Linked DNA regions of Callithrix jacchus. The protein of the gene in region 1 interacts with the protein of each later gene in a pairwise test. Links are inferred from orthologs where the notes say so. Each region holds a gene or a part of one and is shown on either strand. Other genes may lie near its edges.

Region 1 (5,223 bases):
GCTGGGCAGGCTTATTTCCACAAAGCTCCCTCAGTAGGGAATTCTGACTTCCTGTGGAGTACTTCCCAGGGTCCCTTCGGGGGAGCACCTTTACCACTTCATCCTGTAAGAGTCAGGGGTTTGTTCAGCATCCCTCAAGCAGGTTCCACTCCATGCTCACTGACCTGGGGACTGAGCAGCCTCCATGGAAAGTGACCAGACAGAGGGCCGAAGAACTCAGCAGGAAAGCAGATTGCTGGCAGCCCATGGTTGTTCAAGCTTCAGACAGGGGCCCATCTTCATGAGCCGGCTTTCTGGGCTCTTTCCCATTGCTAGCTCTGACATTAAACACTCGCACACACCTGACCTGGATCGCCTGAAACCAGAACTCTGACGAGGCAGTGGCGTTTGGAAGTTGAGAGAGGCATCTGGAGTCGGAAGGCCTGCATGTGAATTTCACGCTGCTGCCTAGCAGCCTCGAGAAAGTCACTTTAATCCTTTGTACCTCAGTTTCCCCCATAGGAGGGGAGCGCATGCCTCTTATGCTTAATGTGAGGACTGAAAGGATGCATGAAACAGTGTGTGGCAGTCTTTTGCTCTAAGAGCAGCAAGCCCAGAAGTTAGCATGTCCCGGAACCAAAGTGCACCTTGAACAAAACCGACTGAACTTGATAGACACAGGCCTTCAACAAACTTCTGCTGAAAGAGCTCATCTCCTATTTTAATAATTGCCCCTGAACATTCAGTCTTTTATGTCACCGTAATGGAATAGCGTCTGTTCACCTACTCTCTGTCGTCTTCAGGAGCATTCTGTTTTGGGTGAATATGGGACCAACAGGCAAATTAAGTGGTATTTATATTTTTCTTAGGAACAAATCTCCAGCCACTAATACAGGTGTTCAAGCTAGTAACATCAAAGAACAAGAACACCGCTGGAGGGAGGAAAGTGATGCTTTGGAGGTGCTCTGCATGTTTAATTTAAAATAAAGAGAAGAGTCTCTGCTCTTCCGCAGAGACAGGGCTGGCACCTGACTCACAGGGTCGCGTAGGCTCAGCAGAGGAGGAATCTTTCCAAGAGTTCCTTCAGTGAGAAGAGAAATCCTTTATTATTGGAATCACACCCTACCTTTCCCCTCTTTCCTATATTTGGCAAGATTGTTAAAACTCCAGATGTCCTCAAAGAGCTCTTTGCATTGGCAAGTAATCTCTCCGGAGACTTTAACAATCCTTCTTCCGTGCAGTGATCCCCAAACCTGGCTGCCCAACAGATCACATGAAAAGCATTTTTAAAAATACCATATCCAGGTCTTGCCCCATGTCAATTAAATCAGAATGTCTGGGGGTGGGAGCCAGACACTGGTTTCTGTTTTGGTTTTAAAAAATCCCAGGTAATTCTAAACTGCAGCAAGGTCTGGGAACCACTGTTCTATGCCTTGTCCCTCCCCCAACAACGGCGCTGGGCACCAAACCCCAACGCCTCATGCCAGTGACATCAACAGCAAGTACGGGCCTGGCTCCTGGAACCCGCGCAGCTCAAGGCTGGAATTGTGCAATTAAACCTGAGGCATGTTTCCCATGTCAGATGGGTTTATGAGGGTAGTCACGAAGCCAGACTCGCTCATGTTCTGTCTGGAGACTTGGCACACGTGAACCAGGGACATCAATCTGGTGTGTGTGTGTGTGTGTGTGTGTATGACAGGTTTAATATTTTGGTTGGCCCAATGTCAAATTCTTCAAACGGCAAAGAGAAACATCCAAGAAAGAAACTCCCCGGGTTTTGAGAAGGAAAGTTTGCTGTGAGCCCCGTTTTGAAACACCGTGGTGTGGCCAGGACCGGCTCTGCTCCTTGAGCTTCCGCGCAAGAGTCCCGCGGTCCCCCTCTGGAGTGGCCGGACAGCCGCGTCCCGTTCCACCGCGAAGCCCAGGCTCGACCGAAGGGTTGCAGGCGTGGAAAACCCGCGACATGGCCACCGAACCAGAGCCCGGGGCTTTCGGGGGGGGGCGCCCCGGAGGGAGGTCGGGTCCTCAGCGGGACACACCTGGACCGGCCGAACTAGAGCGCGCCGGGCGGGGCGAGCCGCCGGCCGGGGTCTGCGCCCAAGGGGCGGGTCGGACCCCACCTGCCTTTTGCCAAGGAGGAAACTAACCGCCGCCAGCACCACCCCTTCCCGGGAGCCGCAGGTGGTGGCAGACGAGTTCTCCCAGCTCCCAGGTGAAGGCTGCTACTCCACACCCGGGAACGAGGCTCGCGGGGACCCGGAGAGGCGCCGGGGCCAGGCTGACCCACGCCGGCTTCAGCGTGAGACTCGCGCGGAGGGCGGAGGCGGGAGGTCAGCTCAGGAAGCCGCCTGTCCCGCGGGGTCCGAGGGGAGGCTGCATTCTCGGGGTCCTTCCTCAGCTTCCCTAAACCGCGCGGCCCTGCGGGTGGGCAGCGCTGGCCCCTCGGGTGCGCGTTCCGACCCCGCCGTGCCCTGGGAGGACAACGCGGGGCGCCATGCGGGACCCCGGCTCCCGGCGCCCACCGGGCCGCGGACGCCGATCCCGCGCAGAGAGGCGGGAAAGTAAGGGAGAAAAGTTGGGAGCGGTCGGGACCGCAGGAGGTGCCAGCTGCCGTTCTCCGCCCCGCCCGCAGCCCGGTGCCCTCCCCGTCTCCTCCTCCGCCCGCCGCGGACTCTCCCGGCCAGGGACGAAACGTCCCGTTCCTCCCGCGGTCCCGGCCGGCAGCGCAGCTGATCTCAAGGAAACAGGAACGGACGGGCGGGGGCGCGGGCACCGAGCCGGTGCGCCGGTGCGCGGCTGGGCTAGCTGCGGGGTCCGGGGCGCGCTCCGGGGGCGGCTCGGGAGCCGGCGAGACACGCCCTTACCTTTCTTTTCCTCCAGAGCCAGACTCGCTGGGCAGAGCGCAGCCAGCAGAGCCAGGAGCGCGGCCCCTGCCGTCCCTGAGGGTCGCATCGCTGCTCCCCGAAGAGCTCGCTCCGACGCTCCTGGATCAGTCCTGGACGGAGTCAGGCGGCCGTGCGCGGTGGCTGTGGCGGCGGCGAGGCGGGGACTCGGGCGGACGCCGCCGAGGTGGGTTGTCGTCCCGGCTGGGCGGCGGCGGCCCCCGGGACTCGCTCGGGACTCCAGCCGCCTTGGTCGCGGAGGGCTCTCACACCGTGCGGGGGGCGGAGGCTGCTGCGGCCGCGCGGCGCGGGGGCTGCCCGGACGTCTAGCTCGCGCGGGCCGGGACGTGGGGAAGGCTGGGCGGGAGGAGGAGGGACCAGGCGGCGGAGGAGGGATCGGGAGGAGCGGAGGAGGAGGAGAATGCGAGGAGGAGGGACGAGAACCAGCAGCAGGGACCCAAAGCCAGCGGCCGCCGGAGGCGGTGGACAGCGGTGACCCCCGCGGGACCCGGGCTCCGGCAGGAAAGGGGCGGCGCGTGGGAGGGGAGCGGGTGCCCTGAGGAGTTAATTTCCGAGAGGGGCGTTCCCAGCACTGCTCCTCTGGACTCAGTCTCCATGGACTTGCAGGCCCAGCTTATGCTGAGATGGAGCCAAATCTGTGCCAGGGTCCCCTTCCCCCTTTCCCTTCTTTTGTTTTACAAAGCAAACTTGTACCAGCTTTGGACAGATTGGCCAAGCCCTAGAGCCAGCGTCGGATAATGGCACCGACGGGGAAACTGCTCTTTTATTCTGGTCCCCACCTCCCCTGCAGCACCCTGGGACCCTCCCAGGGCTCAGAGGCTGGCCTGGCAGCTGAGGCGGTTGCCGTGCCTGTGCAGCAGGAGTGCCAGGCGTCCGAGGTGCTGATCCAAAGTCCGAGGGTCCTTCAGATCCCGTCAAGCACCCTCGAAATTGAATGAAATGAGGGTACCCAACTCCGAGCTCAGATACAGGCCTCCTCAATGTTTATTGTAACCGACCCTGGGTAATTTGAGCCAATGTGTGAGGCACAGTACTTCGCAAAAGGGAAGCTCTTGGAATAAACGCTTGACACAAACAGCCGTGGAGATACTTTTAGAGAGGCTAAGTGTCCCACTGCCCTGGTAGCTCCCACAGGAGAAATGCCAGGGAAATTCGCAGAGGCTTTGGCCGGAAGAAACTGAGCTGCTTTGGGCTGCAGGAACTTGAGCTACATTCCTTCTGCAAGTGCACCCTATCCCCACTGTTCCTTCTCCTACAGGAAAAATGCCCTCTAGGTCCATGTTACAGACCCCTCCTCTCCACAAGGTTCACTAGGACTTTCCGGCCTGATTCAACAACCTTGATCTCCCGGCTCTGTCAAGAACCACACTCCTGAAGTAAGTGGAGCCCTTTGCTGCCCTTTGCTGTCCCTGGAGGGGAGCAACCTTGCTTCTTTCCTTCCCATCCAGCAAATTGTCTGTGCCAGAGTTTCACACCCTGCAGCCTAAACGGTGGGGTTTTCAGCAGGGCAAGCGCAAACTCCTCACCGCCGACTCCTCACTGCCAGCTCCTCACCGCTGCTGCAACCTGGAACTTCCCCTGTGAATCAGGAGAAGTAATTTGTTCCTTTGTTTTAACCAATCAGGACAGCCACTGCAGGTTGAAGTCAGCCCCTGGATGCAGAGGCTGTGACGGCTCTGCAGGCACGTGTGTGCTTCCTCCACATATGCACACCTGGGCTGAGAGCAGTCCATAAAGAAACAAAGAAAAAACAAAACCAGGGAATGGCAAACGGGAAGCACAACAGCGGAACACAAAATGAAGACAGGAGTGAGTTTGACAATAAAAGACATGAGTACAGTGAAGTCGTATGAATTCAGTTAACAAGGACCACTGTGTTTTCTGTCAAGGGAATGTGACTTGTGTGTACAACTCATAACACAAATCAATTTATGTTAAGAAATGTTGAGTGTATAATAAAAATATATTGTTTGCTAAGAAGAACGATGGCAAGGAAAACCTAGCCGACCCCCTCACCGTCCCCCCCCCAAGTGGAAAACTGCTTGGGGCATTATAAAGTAGCGAGATGGAATATGTAAATCATACACTGATTAAAACAATTCTTTAAGCGTGGGATATGTGACCCAGTCTGGTGGCTTCCTTGTGGAGAATATCTAGTCTGTCCTTGATCAGTGGTAAGCAGGCACCAGCTGCTTGCCTAGTTTATCTTGGTCCTATGAAAAAACACGGAGCACCAGCTTTTTAATAATAATTGCCTGTTCAGAAAGAATAACTACGTGGGTCAGAGTCTGCTGGAGGTCCTCAGCCTGAATGCTGTCAGCCCCTGAGGCTCTCAGCTTGG
Region 2 (5,123 bases), on another chromosome or scaffold:
TCTTCAGCAGGGACTTGTTCTTGCTTCCCATCTGGCCTTTTCTTCCTTCGTCCAGGAATAAACTTCTTGATTGAGACCCAGGATTCTTCTTTCCCGGGTTCAGCATCTGGAGTGGAATGTTCTACACCAGACCCAGCTACGGAGTCTTCGTTTTTCTCTTCCAGCTTGGACTTGGATTTTTTTCTTGGCGTGACTAACCTTTTAAATGACTCCCAGGTGGAAACACCCTCCCCTTCAGTAGGGCTTCCAGCTTGCTCAGGGGATGAACAGCCCTGCCCGGGCTCATGTTCTTGGGAATCCGCAAGGGTCCTGTCTGTCCCCGTCTCTTTGTCTCTTCCGGGCTCATCTGTTTTCTGGTGGTCTCCTCCCATTGTTTTTGGCCCCCCTTCCTCATCAGAGGAGGACCCTTTCCTTGCTCTTTTCTTGGATGATCCCACACAAATTAAAGCTTCCCAAGATACTGAGGTATCCACCTTGCGCTTCGGTTCTTCTGGCTTTTGCTCTTCCACGCTCCCTTTCATTTCTTCTTGCATTTCAGAGGCTGCGCTCTCGGTGGAAGACAAGGTAGCGCTCTTGACCTTGTCCAGCTCATCTTCTTTGTCACTTTCCGAAGGCCGTCTAACGCGCTTCTTGGGTGTCACCATCTTTTTGAATGATGCCCAGGGAGTGACACCTTCTCTTTTTTTCTCTCCATCGGAAGTAGCTCCTTCTTCAGCTTCCCCGTCCTGGTGCACCTCGGCTAAGCCCTTCTCCAGACACGTGATCTCCTCGGGCTCCTCGGGGGACGAGGCCGAGCTGTCCCCCTTCTGCTCCTCGTGGCTGTCCGGAGAATCGGCGGGAACCTGAGTGTGCTCCCCTGAGTCCTCATCTCCGCCTCCTCTTTTCCCTTTCTGTTTCTTTCCAGAAAGCTTTTTTAAGCCAGTGCTGGTAAAAAGCTTCTTGAGTGGACTTCCCTGCACCTTCATTCTCTCCTGTGATGACAGCAGCTCCACCTCACTCACAAAGCCTTCGGGGGGCTTGGACAGTGCCTTCTCATCAGGACTGAGGTCAGCTCCCTGCACAGGGTCCACTCCGGAAACACACGTGTCTTTGAGTTTCACCAGCTCCTTGGCAGGTTCGGCTTCCTGAGGTTCTGCATTCATTTCAACCAATTCTTCAGCAGGTACCGACCCTGCCGTTTCTTCCACCTCTGCTTCCTGCTCCTCGGTTCTCTCCTCTGCGGTGCTGATGTGGACATCGGCCACAACCTCTTCCTGGTGGCCTTCTATTTTCTCATCAAACACTTCTGTCGCCAGCGGAGCGGGTTTCTCTTCAGAAGGTCCCTGCGAGCCACTGACCTCCTCCTCCGAGGGCAGCTCAACTTTCTCATATTCAGCTGATAACCGGGGCTCGGGGGTGCTATCCGCCATCTCCTGTGGCTGAGCCTGCTCGGAGGAGGCCTCTGCCTTTCCGTTTTCTTCTGCGTCTTTTTCTGGCTCTTGTTCCTTTTTCTTCTCTGAAGCTTCCAGTTCATCCTCCTTCGGCTTCCTGAAACTGGTCTTTTTTCGCCAGCCGGCCCAACCTTGAGTGAAGAATTTTTTGAAGGTTGATGCTGTTTCAGTCGTCACGGGACTCGCTGGGGACTCTGCAGACTTGCTGGGTTCTTTTTCTTGTTTCTCTTCTCCTTCCTCTTTGCATTCCTCCACGGCTTGGCCAGCTTCGGCTGGAGGAGAAATTTCAGCGTGGCTTTGCTCGTGCTTCAGGTTCTCTTCGGGTTTCTCTGTGGATTGTTTGAGTTCGCTTTCTTTGGAGGCTGCTTCTCCAGCCCCCGCGCTGGGGTCCTGGTGATCGCCATCCCCTGCTGCTCCTTCCCCTTCATCTTTTTTCACAGTGAGTAGCTGGACAGTGTCAGGCTTCTCTGTCTTATCCTTTTTCACAGTGAATTTAAAGCCGACAAACTTAAACACCTTCTTAAATCCAACATCATTAGCCTGGGACTCTGTAGATTGTGTTAGCTCTTCCAAATTGCTTTCTGAAGAAGGAATCTGGTCGAGGATTTCGGGGCTCTCCTCCTGCCCGTCGTCTCTGACGTCTTGATCAACTGTTGACTTAGCAGCCATCTCCTTATCAGAGTCTCCTTTGCTCACATCTTCAGAGTCTCTCTGCCCAACTATTAACAAAAAGCGGGGTGGGGAGAAGAGAAAAGATGATTACAATTCAAGAAAATCGTTTTTCTGAGACAGGGCGCGACTCTGTTGCCCAGGCTGGAGGGCAATGGTGTGGTCTCCATTCACTGCAGCTTCAACCTCCCAGGCTCAAGCAGTCCTCCCACCTCAGCCTCCCGGGTAGCTGGGACTACAGGCACATCCCACAATGTCCAGCTAACTTTTTATTTTCTGTAGAGATGAGATCTCACTATGTGGGTCCAGGCTGGTCTCCAGCTGCTGGGGTCCAGCAATCCTCCTGCCTTAGTTTCTTAAAGTGGTGGGATTATAGGTGTGAACCACTGTGCCCAGCCCACGAAAATTAAATATCTTAAAAACACGACCAATTAATATTTTCTTTAATGACAGGCAACTCGAGGACAAAGTGAGATCTCATGGAGATGTGTAAATCTTTTTTTAATATTGAGATGGAGTTTCGCTCTTACCACCCAGGCTGGAGTGCAGTGGTGTGATCTCAGCTCACCGCAACCTCCGCCTCCTGGGTTCAAGTGATTCTCCTGCCTCAGCCTCCCAAGTAGCTGGGACTACAGGCATATGCCACCAGGCCTGGCTAGAGATTTGTAAATCTTAATAGATTAATGTCTACTTCCTTCCAACGACCTTTAAAAATTCAGGTTCAAAGAGAATCATCTGCTCTTACTGTAGCCTGTTAAAGGGAAAGTCGACAAACTTAACTATCAAAAAATTAGTTTCACGTAAGTAGTCACGGCACCCCTAAGAGTGAGTCAACCAGACAGTGTATCTTCCGTTGCAATGTAAGATGGAATCCCACATCACACCCATATATTTTTTTTTTTTGAGATGGAGTTTCGCTCTTGTTACCCAGGCTGGAGTGCGATGGCATGATCTCGGCTCACCGCAACCTCCGCCTCCTGGGTTCAGGCAATTCTCCTGCCTCAGCCTCCTGAGTAGCTGGGACTACAGGCACACACCACCGTGCCCAGCTAACTTTTTGTATTTTTAGTAGAGACGGGGTTTCACCATGTTGACCAGGATGGTCTCAATCTCTTGACCTCGTGATCCACCTGCCTCGGCCTCCCAAAGTGCTGGGGTTACAGGCGTGAGCCACTGTGCCCGGCCCACATCCATATTTTAAACAAGAATCCATCAAGTTTTAGATACAACTTCCCACTTAATAGGAAATATAGAGTTTGAGAAACAAGCTAAAGAACAAACAAGTATCCACACAAATCCAAAAGAGGGGACATTCTATGTGGTAACTAAGTCTCAACAGGTCCCCATAAGGGACCAGAGCTCTTTGGAGAAATTCCAGGCTGGGTCATAGGGTGTATGAAAAATATTTTCTTGTGACTGAAAGAAGATGCTCAAAAGCTGACAGAGGTATGTCAAAAGGACACAAGAGCTGGCTTGAAGGGGCTCCCAATGCCCAAACTTTGAAGCATAAAAAAGAATAATGGATCCTTGATAGTTCACGATAGTGACGATTGGGTGTTCACGAGCATGTGTGAGACTGTGCCACCCTCAAACCTTGTTACGACGATTGTGCACATCACTCACCTGACATGAAAATGAAAGAGAATAATGACATTGATGAGTTACAGCACATTGAATAAAAAAAGAATCCATGAATCGAGAGTGATACGAAAAAATGTAAATAGGGAGCAGGGAGCACTTTCTTAAGGAAAAAAGGTCAATAAATATAGATATAACTTCCACTTTGATCCTCAAAGTCATTATCTTAAAATTTTAGATTTAGAAAATCACAATTTGCAAGCACCATTTTAATAATTCATTTATTCAGACTGGTGCTAAGTGCTGGGATTACAGGGCGCAGTGGCTCACACCTGTAATCCCAGCACTTTGGGAGGCCGAGGCAGGCAGATTATGAGGTCAAGAGATCGAGACCATCCTAGCTAACATGGTGAAACCTTGTCTCTACTAAAAATACAAAAAAATAGCCTGGCATGGTGACATGCTCCTGTAGTGCCAGCTACTCGGGAGGCTGAGGCGGAAGAATTGCTTGAACCCAGGAGGTGGAGGTTGCAGTGAGCCGAGATAGCGACAGAACAAGACTCCATCTCAAAAAAAAAAAAAAACACAAAAAAACTCATTTAGTCAAGGATCACAGACTGCTAAAGCCATCGGGTAAAAGGCTGTCAGGAAACATACATTCAGCGTACCGACACACACATTACTTAATTTCACAAGAATGACCTTGACAATGGAGAAATCTGGCAGGCACCACCTTAACCAAGTGATCAAATTTAACATCCTCAATAATGGGACAGATTGCATTTCGATTCCCGGTGTGAGGCACTCAGAAGGACAAGAATTCATCTACGTCCTGACCAAAATATTTAACAGCATCTCATCTCATCATGAGGACACAAACAGACAAATCCACAATGAAGGACGTTCTGCAAAATGACTAGCCTGGCCTGAAATAACAATGTCACGGAAAAATGAAAATCAAGCAGAAACACAAAAAGGATTGTCTGCAAGTAACTTTCAAATAGCTTGGTGGGGGTGGTGGGCGGATGATGTAGCTCTCCATAAATGGTGAATTAGGTCAAGTGCACAGAAGTGTTTACTATGTTTTTCCAGGTTTGTAATTTTAAAATCATTGAGGGGAAAAGTCAAGTCAATGTGATTTAATGGGGGGAGGTGGAGGAGAAAGTACTGTGTTAATTAAGAGATTTAAGGAACACAACAACCAGAGGTGCCCAGCATGATCCTGAATTGGATCGGCCAAAGGACATTTTTGGGTCTTCCCGGGAAAAACTGAATATGAGATTTGGGATTGGATGAGATGAATTTTAACTGAAATAAAAGGGTAGAGATTTGACTGCAGAAAGCAGGTTACCAAACAGTATATACAATGACCTCATTCTGGCTTAAAAACAACTGTCTCTTTTCTTTCTCTCTCCCTCTCTCTCCCTCTCTCTCTCTCATAACCCC
Region 3 (5,123 bases), on another chromosome or scaffold:
CTCCACATCTTGATTGCATATTTCCCTTGTTTCTCTCTTCTGTCTCCAGCCCTTGTTCTCGTCTACTTCCCCACTTCAATTTCCCTCTTATTTTCTCTTTCCTAGCTTCTCCTCTTCCAGCTTCCTTACAACTATTCCTGTGAGTAATGCCCCTAGCATTGCCTCTTAGCCTAAGACATTCTTGAAACCATGCAGTTGCAGGCCCTGTTCGCAGATTGCCACATTGTACTGTTCTCCTCGGCATTTGCAGATGCTGTCGATGCAGTTTCTGGACATCTAAGCCTTGTTGATTTTCTTCTCCACCAGTGACTTGTATTAAGAACAATTAGGATCATCACTATCATGCTCTCACCATGTGCCAATCACTGTTCTAAGCACTTAATATGTATGAGCCTACATAATCCTGACGAAGGAGATACAAGTTTTGAGATGAGGAAACTTGGGAGATAAAATAACTTGCCCACAACTACAGAGTGGCAGAGCCAGAATTCAAATGCAGGCAGCCTTGCCCCAGATCCCACACTCCGAGCAGATGGGACCCCCAAGTTAGTTGCTCATAATCCTGATTAAGGTGTCCTGGCATGCCATGAGTCACACATCACACAGGCTGTTCTCTGCTGCGATAAGAAATTGAAATTTGGACCCACTGTCCGCCTCAATGACATTTGGAATTGATAACTCTTTTTATTTTCTACTTAAATGATAGTATCTCAGTAGGAAGCTCACAGCTTTAAATCCCATCAAGATTTTAACTCATCACCATTCAGAAGAGATCATACTTCCATGATTGTGTGTGTGTATGTATGTGTGTTGTCAGGAATATAAATTGAAGACTTAAAAGCAGATGCCCACAATAATTCTGCAACCCAGGAGCTCTTGGTGGCCTTGATAAGGGTCTTCATTGGCTTATCCTGTATGTGACCTTCTGCAGCCTCCAGTGTTAGACATTCTGGGGCATTTTCTACCTTTAAAAAGCAGCTGATTCTCATTCTGGTGTTTAATCAGAGATAGACCATTGGCCTCTTTCCACTCCTCATGAGAGAGCTCCATTTTTATGCTCACATTTTTCATCTTTTGTGATACTTAGGGTTGATGTTTTAGGGGCAAGACCTTCTGCATTGGATTAAAACCTTTCACAGGAGCTTGGTGAATTCTTGAGTGCCCAGGTTCCCTGGGGGCCTCCAACCCTCTGGATTTCAGAATGATAAGAGTGGACACAAGTCTGAAACGCTGTTTCCGGGCTGTAGTGAGCACTCACATCATGGATTTTTTTTTTTTCCATTTTCTAAGACCCCAACAATGTAAGGTTTTTTATAAACATTATTTTCTTTGATTTTCCCAACAGTCTGTACCACTGGAATTATGCCCCTCTTCATTTTTCTAGATGAAGAAACAGAGGCTCAGAGACTCAGCTTCCCTGTGCTCAGGGTTACCTGGTGAGACACCTGCTGAGCCACGGGGATCATGCCTGTTTGTTTTATTTATGTGCTCCCCGAGATGAATGAGGTCAGATACTTTCTTAGGAGAAGACATACTTGGAAGGCACCAGTGGGGTGTGATAGACATATGTTCAGCTTCTCTGTGGCTAGCAGACCTGAGCCAGTCCCCTCCCCTTCTCTGACTATTTGAATTTAGTCCCATCTGTTACCCACCTCTGTAAGGTTGCCAGGTAAGGAAGACATAAGGCTGTTGGCTGGCAGGAGACAGCACACAGTAGGTCCACAGACTAGTAAAGGCAGTGCCTATTTCTGACTTCTGATCCTAGGGCTGTACCTCCCACATGTTTGTCCAAAGACCCAACATCTTTAGGGTTCTCCCCTGCCCCGCCCCCTTCCCATCTAGCCCTGCCCACTGCCAACTCCAGTGCTTGCTTCTAAATTCCTCTCTAATTCTTAGTTTAACAATCAAACTATGCTGATAAACTATGCTATTTGCCTAGATCCATGGTTCTGGACTTTTATGGACATCAGAATCACCTGGAGGCTTGGTAAATATAGCTCATTGGACTCCACCCCAGAGTTCTGATTCAGAAGGTGATGCCAGTTCCGCTGGACCAGTTCCAGGGACCACACTGTGGGAACCACTGGACTGGGGAGCCTGGTCCCAGTTATACGCGTGCTGATGGTGTCTGACCAGTTAGGGATCTGATAATTCTGCCTTACTGGGGAAGATGCCATTGGAAGATAACGAGGAAGGCATTTGGGGTAGGAGGCTGAAGGCTTTGTCTATTCATCATAGCAGTGGATAAATTACCTTTTACATTGATGTGCAGTGGCTTTAGACAGCTTCTCACTGTTGTGAGCCTCTGCCAGCCATTGAATCTCAGACCTGCCTTCCTCTGGGTGAAATGGCCTTTCTTTCTAATTATTTTTGATTCCCATATCAGGTTTTTCAAACTAGGATTGCATTGAAAGCACCTGGAGGTCTTGTTAAAGTGAGGATTCAGAGTTATTAAGTCCAAGGATAGGGCTCACGGTTCTGCGTGTCTAATGAGCTCCCACGTGATGTAGATGCTGCGGGTCCATGGACCAGCACCTCGTAGCAATTCTGAATTATAGCTGTGTATAGCTTGCCCCTGCTGCCCAATAGAATCACCCAAGGAGCTTTTAAAAACAAATACTTGGCCAGGCTGGGTGGCTCACGACTGTAATCCCAGCACTTTGGGAGGCCAAGGCGGGTGGATCACAAGGTCAGGAGTTCAAGACCACCCTGACCAACATGGTAAAACCCTGTCTCTACTGAAAATACAAAAATTAGCCCGGTATGGTGGCCTGTAATCCCAGCTACTCGGGAAGCTGAGGCAGGAGAATCACTTGAACCCAAGAGGCGGAGGTTACAATGAGCCAAGATCATACCACTGTGCTCCAGCCTGGGCGACAGAGCGAGACTTTGTCTCAAAAACAAACAAATAAAAACCAATATTTGAGCCACATTCCCTGGAAATTATAGTTTAATTGTGGGGTTTAGAATTTTTAACACCCCCATTCCCCAACCCCCATGTGATTTCAATGTACAGCCAGGGTTGGAAACCATTGGTCGTTACCCACAAAATGGGGTAACACCTTCCCAGAGCTCAGCTCCATGTGAGCGCCAGAGACTAGGTCGGACTGGCTGCTTCCGTGTAGGGAGGGTGCACCATACTCCTGGGAAGCTGCACAGGTCACCTGGGAATCTTGTTAAATTGTGGATTCTTCTTGGTCAGGTTTGGGGTGGGACCTGGGTTTCTGCATTTCTAATAGATAATCTGAGTGTTGCTGATGCTGCCAGTCGAGGCTGGTGCTGAGTCTCCAGACGCGCCCACAAGGGCCCACATGATGCCCGTTATCTCTGCCAGTGATGGCAGCGGGTACCTTTTCTCAAGCCGAGCATTAGAGGCTTTTGTTTCCACCTTTTCTCTCCCTAAACGCCATCCTGACGTCTCTTTTATTCAGCTTGGTATTGACACAGGACACTGGGCAATATAGGTTTGTTCTCTTTTTGTAATCTTTTCTTCCTTCTCTCTTCACAGTACGAGACGCAAAAAATCTAATCCCTATGGACCCAAACGGGCTTTCAGATCCTTATGTGAAGCTGAAACTCATTCCTGATCCCAAGAACGAAAGCAAACAAAAAACCAAAACCATCCGCTCCACGCTAAATCCCCAGTGGAATGAGTCCTTTACCTTGTAAGTGGTCCCTCTCCTTGATAAAATTTCGTTCCCATACGCCATGCAGTTGCCCACCTCATTATTTGAGATGATGAAGTAGGCTGCTTATAAATGTCTTTAAACATGTCTTCAGTCCTAAGATCTCCTCAGGCTGCCATTAGGGAGGTAGCTATTAGTACCTGTTGGATAGATGGTAATTATGATACCAAGAGTTGCATAATTCAGGCCTCAAATTATTATTATCTAATCTGGATAAATGTATCAGGTATGTCCACCTCTTGATGGATTTAGGTTCTTTTGAGAGTTAGGGGAGGGCATAAGGCGAGAATTTAAATAATTTTTAGATCACAGAATGAGTGAGCGACATAGAAAGTGTTATTGCCACTGAAACGGGAAGATCATTCTTGCCTTCAAAGAGAGAATTCCTGGAAAATGTGACATTTAAAGTCAGCCTGGGAGGGCTGCCCGGGTTTCAGAGGTAGAGACGGTAGAAGGGGAAGAAGGAAATAAATAAGTCAGGAGGACTGAGGGCAGCTGAGCAAAAGCAAGAGGTCCTCTTTGTAGACTAGTAACAGGAGGCAGTTTTTCTGTGGACAGCCAGAAAGGTAGCTCTCTATTCTAGAGGGACCAGCAAGTTCTGCTCTGTGAAGGACCAGAGAGTATATATTTGAGGCTTTGTGAGTCATACGGTCTCTGTTGCACCTCTGTAACTCTAACTTTCTAGTGCCAAAGCAGCCATAGACAATATGGAAACAAATAGCCATGGCTGCATTCTAATAAATCTTTATTTATAGAAATAGACTGGGCCAGATTTGGCCCATGGGTCATAGTTTATTAACTCCTCCTGTAGAGCTTTGGTTGCCAGCATAAGGTTTGGTATTTTACTGGACCAGTAAGAGAATTAAATATACTAATTCTCTATCTCAGTCTCAAGTCACGTACATGTGTTATCTCCCAATAAAACCACAAGCAAGATAACCTGGTGTTTGCGTGTGTGTGTGTGTGTCTTGCAGCAAATTGAAACCTTCAGACAAAGACCGGCGACTGTCTGTAGAAATCTGGGACTGGGATCGAACAACAAGGAATGACTTCATGGGATCCCTTTCCTTTGGAGTTTCGGAGCTAATGAAGATGCCAGCCAGTGGCTGGTATGGAAGCCATTTAGGTTGAATATGTCTCAAAGCATCAGACCATTTAGACAGTTAGGCTTAAGTCCCTAAAATGTCAGTTGAGACAGGACATGGTGCCTTACACCTATAACGCCAGCACTTCAGGAGGCTGAGGCAGGTGGATTGCTGAGTCCAAAAGTTTGAGACCAGCCTGGGCAACATGGAAAAACCCCATCTCTACAAAAAATACAAAAATTGGCCGGGTGTGGTGGTATGCACCTGTAGTCTCAGCTACTCAGGAGGCTGAGGTGTGAGGATCACTTGAGCCCAGGAGGCTGCACCATTGCACTCCAGCCTGGGCAACAGA

What was found. The genes of interacting proteins can lie anywhere in the genome.
Region 2: the proteins of EGFR (region 1) and AKAP12 interact in binary tests that used the Homo sapiens proteins (3 or more experiments, as listed by UniProt). The link is inferred for Callithrix jacchus from reciprocal best matches to the Homo sapiens genes EGFR and AKAP12.
Region 3: the proteins of EGFR (region 1) and PRKCA interact in binary tests that used the Homo sapiens proteins (3 or more experiments, as listed by UniProt). The link is inferred for Callithrix jacchus from reciprocal best matches to the Homo sapiens genes EGFR and PRKCA.

Annotation. Positions count from the first base shown.
Region 1 is NC_133512.1:22,474,435-22,479,657, reverse strand, and holds the start of EGFR (epidermal growth factor receptor), read right to left. Parts: upstream 3,190-5,223; 5' UTR 2,932-3,189; coding exon 2,844-2,931; intron 1-2,843. UniProt on the Homo sapiens protein: Receptor tyrosine kinase binding ligands of the EGF family and activating several signaling cascades to convert extracellular cues into appropriate cellular responses.
Region 2 is NC_133505.1:158,182,669-158,187,791, reverse strand, and holds part of AKAP12 (A-kinase anchor protein 12), read right to left. Parts: intron 3,729-5,123; exon of another isoform or gene 3,623-3,728; intron 2,150-3,622; coding exon 1-2,149. UniProt on the Homo sapiens protein: Anchoring protein that mediates the subcellular compartmentation of protein kinase A (PKA) and protein kinase C (PKC).
Region 3 is NC_133506.1:122,598,722-122,603,844, reverse strand, and holds part of PRKCA (protein kinase C alpha type), read left to right. Parts: intron 1-3,508; coding exon 3,509-3,665; intron 3,666-4,660; coding exon 4,661-4,795; intron 4,796-5,123. UniProt on the Homo sapiens protein: Calcium-activated, phospholipid- and diacylglycerol (DAG)-dependent serine/threonine-protein kinase that is involved in positive and negative regulation of cell proliferation, apoptosis, differentiation, migration and adhesion, tumorigenesis, cardiac hypertrophy, angiogenesis, platelet function and inflammation, by directly phosphorylating targets such as RAF1, BCL2, CSPG4, TNNT2/CTNT, or activating signaling cascade involving MAPK1/3 (ERK1/2) and RAP1GAP.